Linked DNA regions of Mus musculus. The protein of the gene in region 1 interacts with the protein of each later gene in a pairwise test. Links are inferred from orthologs where the notes say so. Each region holds a gene or a part of one and is shown in the gene's direction. Other genes may lie near its edges.

Evidence for each region.
Region 2: the proteins of Grn (region 1) and Nufip2 interact in binary tests that used the Homo sapiens proteins (3 or more experiments, as listed by UniProt). The link is inferred for Mus musculus from reciprocal best matches to the Homo sapiens genes GRN and NUFIP2.

The regions. Positions count from the first base shown.
Region 1 is NC_000077.6:102,428,824-102,433,341, forward strand, and holds the start of Grn (progranulin precursor), read left to right. Parts: upstream 1-1,683; 5' UTR 1,684-1,717; intron 1,718-4,141; 5' UTR 4,142-4,148; coding exon 4,149-4,286; intron 4,287-4,401; coding exon 4,402-4,518. UniProt on the Homo sapiens protein: Secreted protein that acts as a key regulator of lysosomal function and as a growth factor involved in inflammation, wound healing and cell proliferation. Regulates protein trafficking to lysosomes, and also the activity of lysosomal enzymes.
Region 2 is NC_000077.6:77,684,821-77,689,139, forward strand, and holds the start of Nufip2 (nuclear fragile X mental retardation-interacting protein 2), read left to right. Parts: upstream 1-1,318; 5' UTR 1,319-1,407; coding exon 1,408-1,687; intron 1,688-1,735; exon of another isoform or gene 1,736-2,991; intron 2,992-3,466; exon of another isoform or gene 3,467-3,511; intron 3,512-4,319. UniProt on the Homo sapiens protein: Binds RNA.

The DNA.
Region 1 (4,518 bases):
TCCCTCCTTCAGACGGAAACCAGAACCTCTCGTGTTAGATTAGAGCAATGCCATTAAGCTGTAGCCCCAGAAGTTTGTTCTACCTTTTTATTATTTATTTCAAGCGATTGCGTATGTAAGTCTGGGGGTGCGCTAATGCTATGGTGTGTGTGCAGAAGTCAGAAGTCGTGGTTTCTGGGAGTCATTTCTGTCTTGTGAAACAAAGGAAGCAGGTTTGTTAAGCTTTTACCTGCTCCCCATTTTATTTCCCCTTGAGGCAGTGCTGCGTCTAGGATGTAGCTCAGTTGGTAGCACTTGTAGCTCAGCATGCTCAAGGCCCTAGGTCTAATCCCAGCAGCACAGAAACTAAACACGGCAATCTGCACTTGCAATCGTGGCGCTTGGGAGATGGGGGCAGAAAACTGAGAAGTTCTGTGTCAGCTATCTATCAAGCTGAAGCTCGTCTGGAACACAGGAAACCCTGACTCAGAGGGTGAGCTGCAATGTTGCTGAGTCTGGTTTCCAACTCCTGGGGTTCAGCAGCACCCCTTCCTCAGCCTCCGCAGATGGCTGTGTCTCACTAGAAGCATAAGCAATGGTCTGTTCTGGGGACACCTGTATGAATGTCATGGAACACCTATGCTAACACCATCAGGATGCAGAATGATGCACCAGTCTTACACACTTTCTGGGACTCCAGTGTAAGAAGCCCTCACGGAATTCCACAACCCTGCATGCACTCCTCTCTATGTAAGACTCCCACTGTCCTGAACTGTATGGCTGACCCCCATGGTCTCTATTCACCCACCATAACAATTCCTCGAAGGTGGGGACAGCTGAAACAAGGAAACCCCTTCCATCTCGACAGCCACCAGCCTACTCCACAGGCAGTGCCACACACTTGGCTAATGCCCTTATCTTGAACGTGGCTTTCAACCCTTGCTAGAGGCTGTCTGTAAAGAACAAGATATAAACTACCCAAGGAAAGGATTCACTGTCTTTCCCAATCTAGTTTCAAGTTCCTCTGTCCCACCTTATCAGCCTCTTAAAATTCTTTCAGCTTCAATTTAATGCAGTGCTATCAATATGGATTTAAATCTCTTCTTCCCCCCAGTTTGAGCCAATCTCCTGCCTCCTCCCTACACACATCTACAGTGCCCGGTACTCGCCCTTGAACCTTTATTAGATTTAGTCTAAGCCACTCTCCCCATTCAAACCTGGGGACTATTTATCTTCACCCTCACAACCATCTTCCAACTGGTTTCGAGTCCTTGTCTGCCAGGCGTGAAGAGACAGGAATGTACAAAAGTCCCGATCCAGAAGCAGACACCCTCCAGTAAACGACCTTGAACGCGTGCCCTCAGGGCAGCTCTCCTAACTGTGGGTGCCCTTAGGCATGAGGTGTCTCATCTCTGCAACACTCTGCCGCCAGAACCCAAACCAGCAAGCTCTGCCCTGGGGGAGGCGGGCTATGTTGTCATATGATTCTCTAATCACATGATCCCTAGAAATGGGGTGTGGGGAGAAAGAGGAAAGGGAGGAGGAATGTGAACTGAGTAGAAAAGAAACACAGCATTCCAGGAGAGTCCCGCCTCTACGTAGACAAGTAACCAATGGAAGCCCTGGATCTCCGAGCAATGGCTAATGGAAATTGAGGTGGGCGGGCCATCGTGCGGCCAAGCCCTAGTCCTGGAGCTGACCGCCAGATGCCTCCCAGGGAGCCCGGACCCCGACGCAGGTAGGAGGACCCTCTGCAGACAATCTCCCCGGCTACTGTCCAGAGGTCCAGAGGCCTGACCAGGCTGCCTGTGCAATTGAGGGTCCTCTGGAGTCTCAGCTCAGAGACAAGAGAAGACCTGCCTCTTGAAACTCCCCTAGGGGTTTCTGATGCACTAACGAGGTTGTTTTTTTCTTTTCTTTTTTGGAGGGGTGGGGGCAGTTGTTGTAGAGACACCTCCCCGCACCCCCTCCCCCCCAATAAGAGGCTTCTCTTGCCCAGCATGTCGGAAAGCTGCAGGCCTTTCTCCAGGACAGGAACCACCCCACTCTTGGGCCAGCTCCTCTCTTGTCCGTACTTCCCACCTCTGTCTCCAGGTCCGGCTCTTTCTCTTTCGGACGCTGCAAGTGTTCTCTGCGGCGGCGTGCATTGGGTGGGGATCTCCGGCCCTTGGCCCCCAGAGCTCAAAGGGGTTGCGAGCAGGACCAGGGCGTGATGGCTGAGTCCCTGGGTTGTGTCAGCTTTATTTCCTTTCTTGGGGGGCGAGAGAGCTAATTTCCGCCTCTCCCCGCCACTTTTCCCCCGCTGCCTCTCATCTGGATTGGCTCACCTTTTAGGAAATTCATTTCCCCTCGACACTCAGAGTTGGGGGGTGCCACCTAGTGGAAGATGTCGGAGCTAGGGCTTTGAAAGGCTCCAGTTCTCCCTAGCTGTGTAGTGTAGAGGTGGCCAGGGGCTCACCACTCCCTAGCCCCGTTGAGAGGAACTGGGTCTTCCCTACCCCTTCCTGGTTAGGAGATGGCCTCTGGGATGTTCTTTGAATTAGGTGAAAGGGCACTTGAAAAGACCTAGAGAAGGAAAGAGAAAGATGGCAGATCCTTCTATGTAGCCCAGGCTGGCCTGGGATTCACCTTATAGCCCAAGTTGGCCTGGCACTTGCAACCCTCCTACCTCAGCCTCCCAAATGCTGGGATCAAAAGCATGCCTGCCATGTGTGGGTGGCATTTCCTGTCTTTCATAGCCACCAGTGTCCAGGCAGAGAAGAATTGAGACACAGGGAGCAATTTCTGACATAGAGTGTCACTTCCAGGACTAAAACCCAAGTCTCTGTACCTACTTTTTAAATATTTTATTATTATTATTATTATTATTATTATTATTTTTTTTTTTTTTTTTTTTTTTTGGTTTTTCGAGACAGGGTTTCTCTGTGTAGCCCTGGCTGTCCTGGAACTCACTCTGTAGACCAGGCTGGCCTCAAAACCAGAAATCTGTCTGCCTCTGTCTCCCAAGTGCTGGGATTAAAGGTGTGCACCACCACCGCCCGGCTCCCACCCTGTTTCTATCCTGCTTGGGTCACCTGCCAGAAAAATGCTCTGTCCTGTCCTGTTTGGACCTCTGGCCTCTGGGATTCAGGGTCCTTCTCTGACAATATTCAGGGAGACCAGTTGGCATATGAACCCAGTCCCATATCCCGTCTTTTTTCCCTGACTTGATCCTTAGGCATGGATTTGAAAAGTGAAAGTAATATTATAATTACTGTTTTGCATAGTTGTTGCAGAGAAATACAGTAAGGAGAGGGAGAAAGACTCCCTAGAGGGTCTTTGAATATTGTTGGGTCATTCTGGGTTGCTGGGTAGGCCAGCTGGGCTGGGGAAAGGCTTATTAGGGAAGTGAGAGGCTCGGTTCCTCCTGCTGAGGCAGTGAGGCACTGTGCTGGGTCTTCCCACTTGCAGCTGAGTTTCGGTTTCTGAGGGGGGAGAGACGGAGGCGGTCCGTTTGAGGTGCCCTGGTGATGTCGGGAAGGGCTCACCATGAAGTTAGCTTTAAGGCTGATCCAGTCTCTGTGTCCCCTTCCCTTGGGTGGGGTGGGGGGACAGTTGTGGGTAGGCGGTGGCTGGCCCATAGGGAAGCCAGACCAGACCCCACTGACCACTGCACTTCTGTTTTTACAACTTTCTCCACTGCTCGGTTTCCCATATGATCATGTGACTGATGACTGTCCCTCTCCATCCCCCAAGGCTTTTGAAAGCTACAGGTGGCAGTTCAGTGCCGGCAGTGGGGCTGGCCATCCTCCTGTGTCTGCTGAGGTCTCCTCTGCCTCCCAGTTAGCCCACAGTCCCATAGATAAAGCCACAAAAGCCACATGCCTTCCTGACTGCCATACCCCGTGCCCCCCCCCCCCACTTACCCAGAGTCTCAGCCGTATGTGAGGCCATGAATCCACACGTGTTCATGCCCACAGTGTGTGCCAGCTGACGCATGTGCGCTTGCTGCACACTGGTAGGACGCTGACACAAGCGACACATCTGCTTGCTTTCCTGTTGGCTTGTTGAGAAGACTCAATGAAGCCAGGGCCTTGGTCAGAGCACAGGGGAGTGCGTGGCCTCAGAGTAGAAGGTGGCACAGAGTTTAAGGTGGCTGCCAAACTTTGCTTGGCATTTGTAGGCAGACCATGTGGGTCCTGATGAGCTGGCTGGCCTTCGCGGCAGGGCTGGTAGCCGGAACACAGTGTCCAGATGGGCAGTTCTGCCCTGTTGCCTGCTGCCTTGACCAGGGAGGAGCCAACTACAGCTGCTGTAACCCTCTTCTGGTGAGTGCCTCCTGCCCCAGTTGGCACCCCGGGCCTTTTGAAGGGCTGGCTACCTTGGATTGACCAGAGCAAGGCTGGCACAGACCCTTTGGTTGATGTCATCTCTTCTTTCCAGGACACATGGCCTAGAATAACGAGCCATCATCTAGATGGCTCCTGCCAGACCCATGGCCACTGTCCTGCTGGCTATTCTTGTCTTCTCACTGTGTCTGGGACTTCCAGCTGCTGCCCG
Region 2 (4,319 bases), about 25 Mb from region 1:
GGTCTACAGGAGTGAGTTCCAGGACAGCCAGGGCTGTACCAAAAAAAAAAAAAATCCCTTATAATACATAGACAAATGTATATCTAATTTAATGAATTTTAAAGCAATTATTCATGTAATAGCAATAGCACATTGGCTGGGGTATGCTGGTGTGTGTAGGACTTTAATCCCAGCATTCATGAGGCAGAAACAGGGGGAATCTCTTAGTTGGCCAGACACTTCTACTTAGGTAGTTCCAAGCCAATCAGGTTTACATAGTCTGTTTCAAAAACAAACCAGTCCAAAACAAACAAAACTCCTAGCCAAGTCCCCCAAATATATATTTCGAGGGTACCCCGTGTCTGTGCTTATCACAACCTTCTTCCTATCATAACAGGTTAAATTAACAGCATAAATTGCAAATACACCTTTACATTTCAATGTTTTCCTTAAATTTAATACAAAAATGTTTTAAAAACCCAAACCTTAAGAACTTTTAAAGGGTTCCTTTCTCCTTTATTTCACTTTTGAAAGTCTTAGTCTAAAATCTATTTTGGTTCCATAGTTGACCTCACCTGCAGTGTTTGATTAAAAAAACAACAAAAACACCCAAAAAACTTCAGTGTAGATTTTTTTCATTCCTCCCTCTCTCTTGCTTTCAACTACAAAGAAACAATGATTTAAGCCCTTTGTCCCCTTTTAGAAAATTACACAGATACCCTATTGTGGAACCCTATAATCCCTCCGTGGAAAGGAAGAGATTAGCATATGAATACAAAGCAAAATGAATCCAGAATACGAAAACGATCTATCGAGTTGTGAAGCTCTTGTATTCTTAAAAATGTATTTATTTCCTCTTTTTTGAATTGCCCCCTTCGTGGTTTAAGGGTTAAGGAAATTGAGCTTTCCTCTCTGGCTACCCGGAAAAGAATTAAACACACACACACACACACACACACACACACACTCACAACCCAACACATTCTAGGAGGTGCAAAACCAACAGATGGCTCCTAGCGCCAGTAGAATCGTCAGTGGAATCTGCTACACTCGACATCAGCTTGCTCGGTGTGAGGAGTGTAGAAAGTGCTGTTCGCTAACTGCGTGGTGAAGGAGAGAAAGCGATAGAAGAGAGAGCCATAATGCTGACGTTGAAGGCCCGGCCCTGTGAGGTTGCATAGGGTAAGTGGCGTTGGCCAGGCGGCGGTGGCGAAGGGGAAGGGAAGAGGATTTGAGCTAGGGGCGGGGCTTGACGCGCAGCGTGGCTCCTCATTGCTGGAGCACGGCTGCCAATCTCGCAGATCCTCTCGCTTAACCAGTGCGCTGGCGAGACGCGCTCAGATATACCGAGCGAGCGCGGAGAAGCAGTCTCAGATCCTGACGGTGCAGCAGCCCGCAGCCTCAGCCAGGGAGTCCCAGCCGCTTTCAATGGAGGAGAAGCCCGGCCAGCCACAGCCTCAGCACCATCACAGCCACCACCATCCGCACCATCATCCCCAGCAGCAGCAGCAGCAGCAGTCGCACCACCACCACCATTATTATTTCTACAACCACAGCCACAACCACCACCACCACCACCATCACCAGCAGCCTCACCAATACCTGCAGCATGGAGCCGAGGGCAGCCCCAAGGCCCAGCCCAAGCCGCTGAAACATGAGCAGAAACACACCCTCCAGCAGCACCAGGAAACGCCGAAGAAGAAAACAGGTCTGAGAGGGAGGGCGGTGGGGGAAGGGGGACTGGATTGGAGGGGGGGGAAGCGATGGGGGTGGGGCTAGATGGGAAAAGCGCGGACCCGGTCCGGGTGTGCGTCCCGCCGGGCCGGGGATGCCCCCTTCCATTCTTCCCGGGCGCGGGCCGGGCCGCGAGGTGGGGATTGCAGCGCCCTCTCCTTCCCTTTAGCATGGGAGAGGCCCAGCCAGGCCGGCGTGACCTTCCTCGGTCCCCGCCCCGGCCGGCCGGAGGCAGAGCTGTGCCCTCGGCCTTGGAAGTCCAGCCTTCATCTTCTTTTTCCCCTCTAGTGCGGGCCCTGGAGTTGCCTGAATGTGGGGGCCCCTAAGAAGGGGGTGAAACTCAGCCGCCCTAAAAAAATAAAATAAAAAATTCCCCCGAGGTGTATGTAATTCAGGCCTAGTGAATCCATCCTGATGCGGGTGGTGTCGCGAGAGCCGCTTGCAGGCGGCGACGAGCGGGGCTGAGGGCTAAGTTGAGGAAGCGTCCTCGCTCACCCGCCGCCCCGAGCCCACCTGTGGCCTTGGGGTTTGCCGTCTGGGTGTGTGGGGGACCCTATCGTCCCTCGGGTCATTTCCACCCCTAAACGCCCGTCTTGCGCGTCCGGACCCCGTTGTCTGTCCGCGAGGGCTTCTCCGCAGGCCGGCGCCCCTGGCCCGCTCGCCTCGGAGCCGGCGAGGCTGGAATGTTCTCTCCTCCTCGCGGGGCCGCTTCCTGTCCGCCATGTTGGAAGCTGATTCCTGTCACCGACTCCGGCCGGCGGAGGAGCGGAGGGGGAAGGGTGCCGAAGGCCACACGGCACGCCGGCCCGGCTGCCCCGGGACCCTCTGCGGCCCTTTTCCGGGTCCCCCCCGCACTGCGGGCGGCCGCCGCCCGCCGCCCCTCCCCCTCCGCGCCGCGCCGCGCCGGGGTTGTGTAACCCGGTGGCGGCCGCGCGGCCCCGGGCGGGTCCCTGGGGTGAGGGGCGGGGGCGGTTGGGGTGGGGGAGGGAAGCGGCCACGAGGGGAGCGGCCTGCACCGTGGCCCCGCGCGCCCGACGGCCGCGTTTCCCGCTCCCGGGTGCGGCGGGAGGCGCGGGCGGGGAGCGGGCCTTGAAGAGGAGCTTGAAGGGGGAAGGAGGCCCGGGCGGCGGCCGTGGCCGTAGCGTTCCGCTGGCCTGCGAGGGGCGAGGGGGATTCGTTTTGGGGAGAGGCGGTGCCTGAGGCCGGGTGGGGTACCCAGCGGGAACCAAGCTCCCGGGTCACGAGTTTCTCTGCCACAGGAATCTCATCTCCTGCCAGGTTCGCTCACGACTCCGCCTCGGAGGCTTTTTCACTTAGGCCTTTTTTCTTTATAGCAGCGCATTTCCTACCCAAAAAAAAAAAAAAAAAATGGGGGGGGGTTGGGGAACAACCTCTCAAACTTTGTTCCATTCGTTTTCCACCGAACACCTAAACTTCTGAGCTGGGTAGTGACTTTGTGGGAGGGATTAATCCGATGCTCTAATGGGTGGGACAACACGGGCAGTTTTGGCTTTCCTGTTTCTTTAACTATGAACTGGAAGTGACTTGTCCATGTGGTTGTCACCAGCCCTTTACCTTGGACAAGACCTTTTTGGTGGTTAAGAGGCGTTTTGGTGCATTTTAAAACCGACTTCCATCCCCTAACTGAGTATTATTTAACATTAAATGTGGAGCCTTGAGCTACTTAAAATAAGCATCAAAGTTTATATATTCACACGTTTTGTTTTGTTTTGTTTTGTTTTTAACTGAAAAGGGAATGAAGAAAGAAGTGTTAAACTTAGTCTTTCAAGTAATACAAGTAAGTTACTGGTGAAAAACTTACTGTAGACAATATAACTTTGAAGGCAGAGCTGAGTGGATATCAGATTTTCTTTTGTAGGGTAGTAGGGACTGATGATAGAGCAGAAGTGTTTAATTGTAAGGATTTACAGCAGCCTAGAAACTTAGGAATTATGTAACTGTATTAGTTTTGCTTTTCATGAGGTGAGAAAGTATCAAGGTTGCCCAGTGGTATTGTTCACAGATTCAGAATTTGTCTTTTATGAGGTTTATGTATTCCCCACAGGGCTCCTCACTGCATAGAAAGGCAGACCCTGAACCATTCATTGAAGGTGGCCCTCCTCACAATGTGTCTTAACCTGGGATGAAGAATGAGGAGGGAACTGGGTTTAGGAAATTTAGAGGTTATTAACAGTTGGGCTCAGCGGCTTTCCCGTATGTGGTTTGGTCGTTGGGTACTGTGCTAAAAAATCTAGAAAATGCTAGGGAAATACTTAACAAGTTTTTATGAACCATTACTTCCAAAGCTATGAGAAACTGGTTTTCTGGATCCAGAAGAGGGCACAGGAGACAAAACATGTTGAGTAATTGCAGTGTCAAATCTAAAAGCTAGATTTATTTGGGACTCAAGTTTTGCTGAGTCCATTTGAAGTGGAGTTCTCATGGCACCCTAAATAATAAAGACACAGGGATTCTTTAATTGCTTTCTGTAATAACTACCATCTTCACATTTTTCTTAAATATCTAAGCTTTAAAAGGTACTTATCATACTTAGTGCATGTCAAGGCCATAGGGAGACAAATATGTAGTTAAGTGAATTTTTGTTT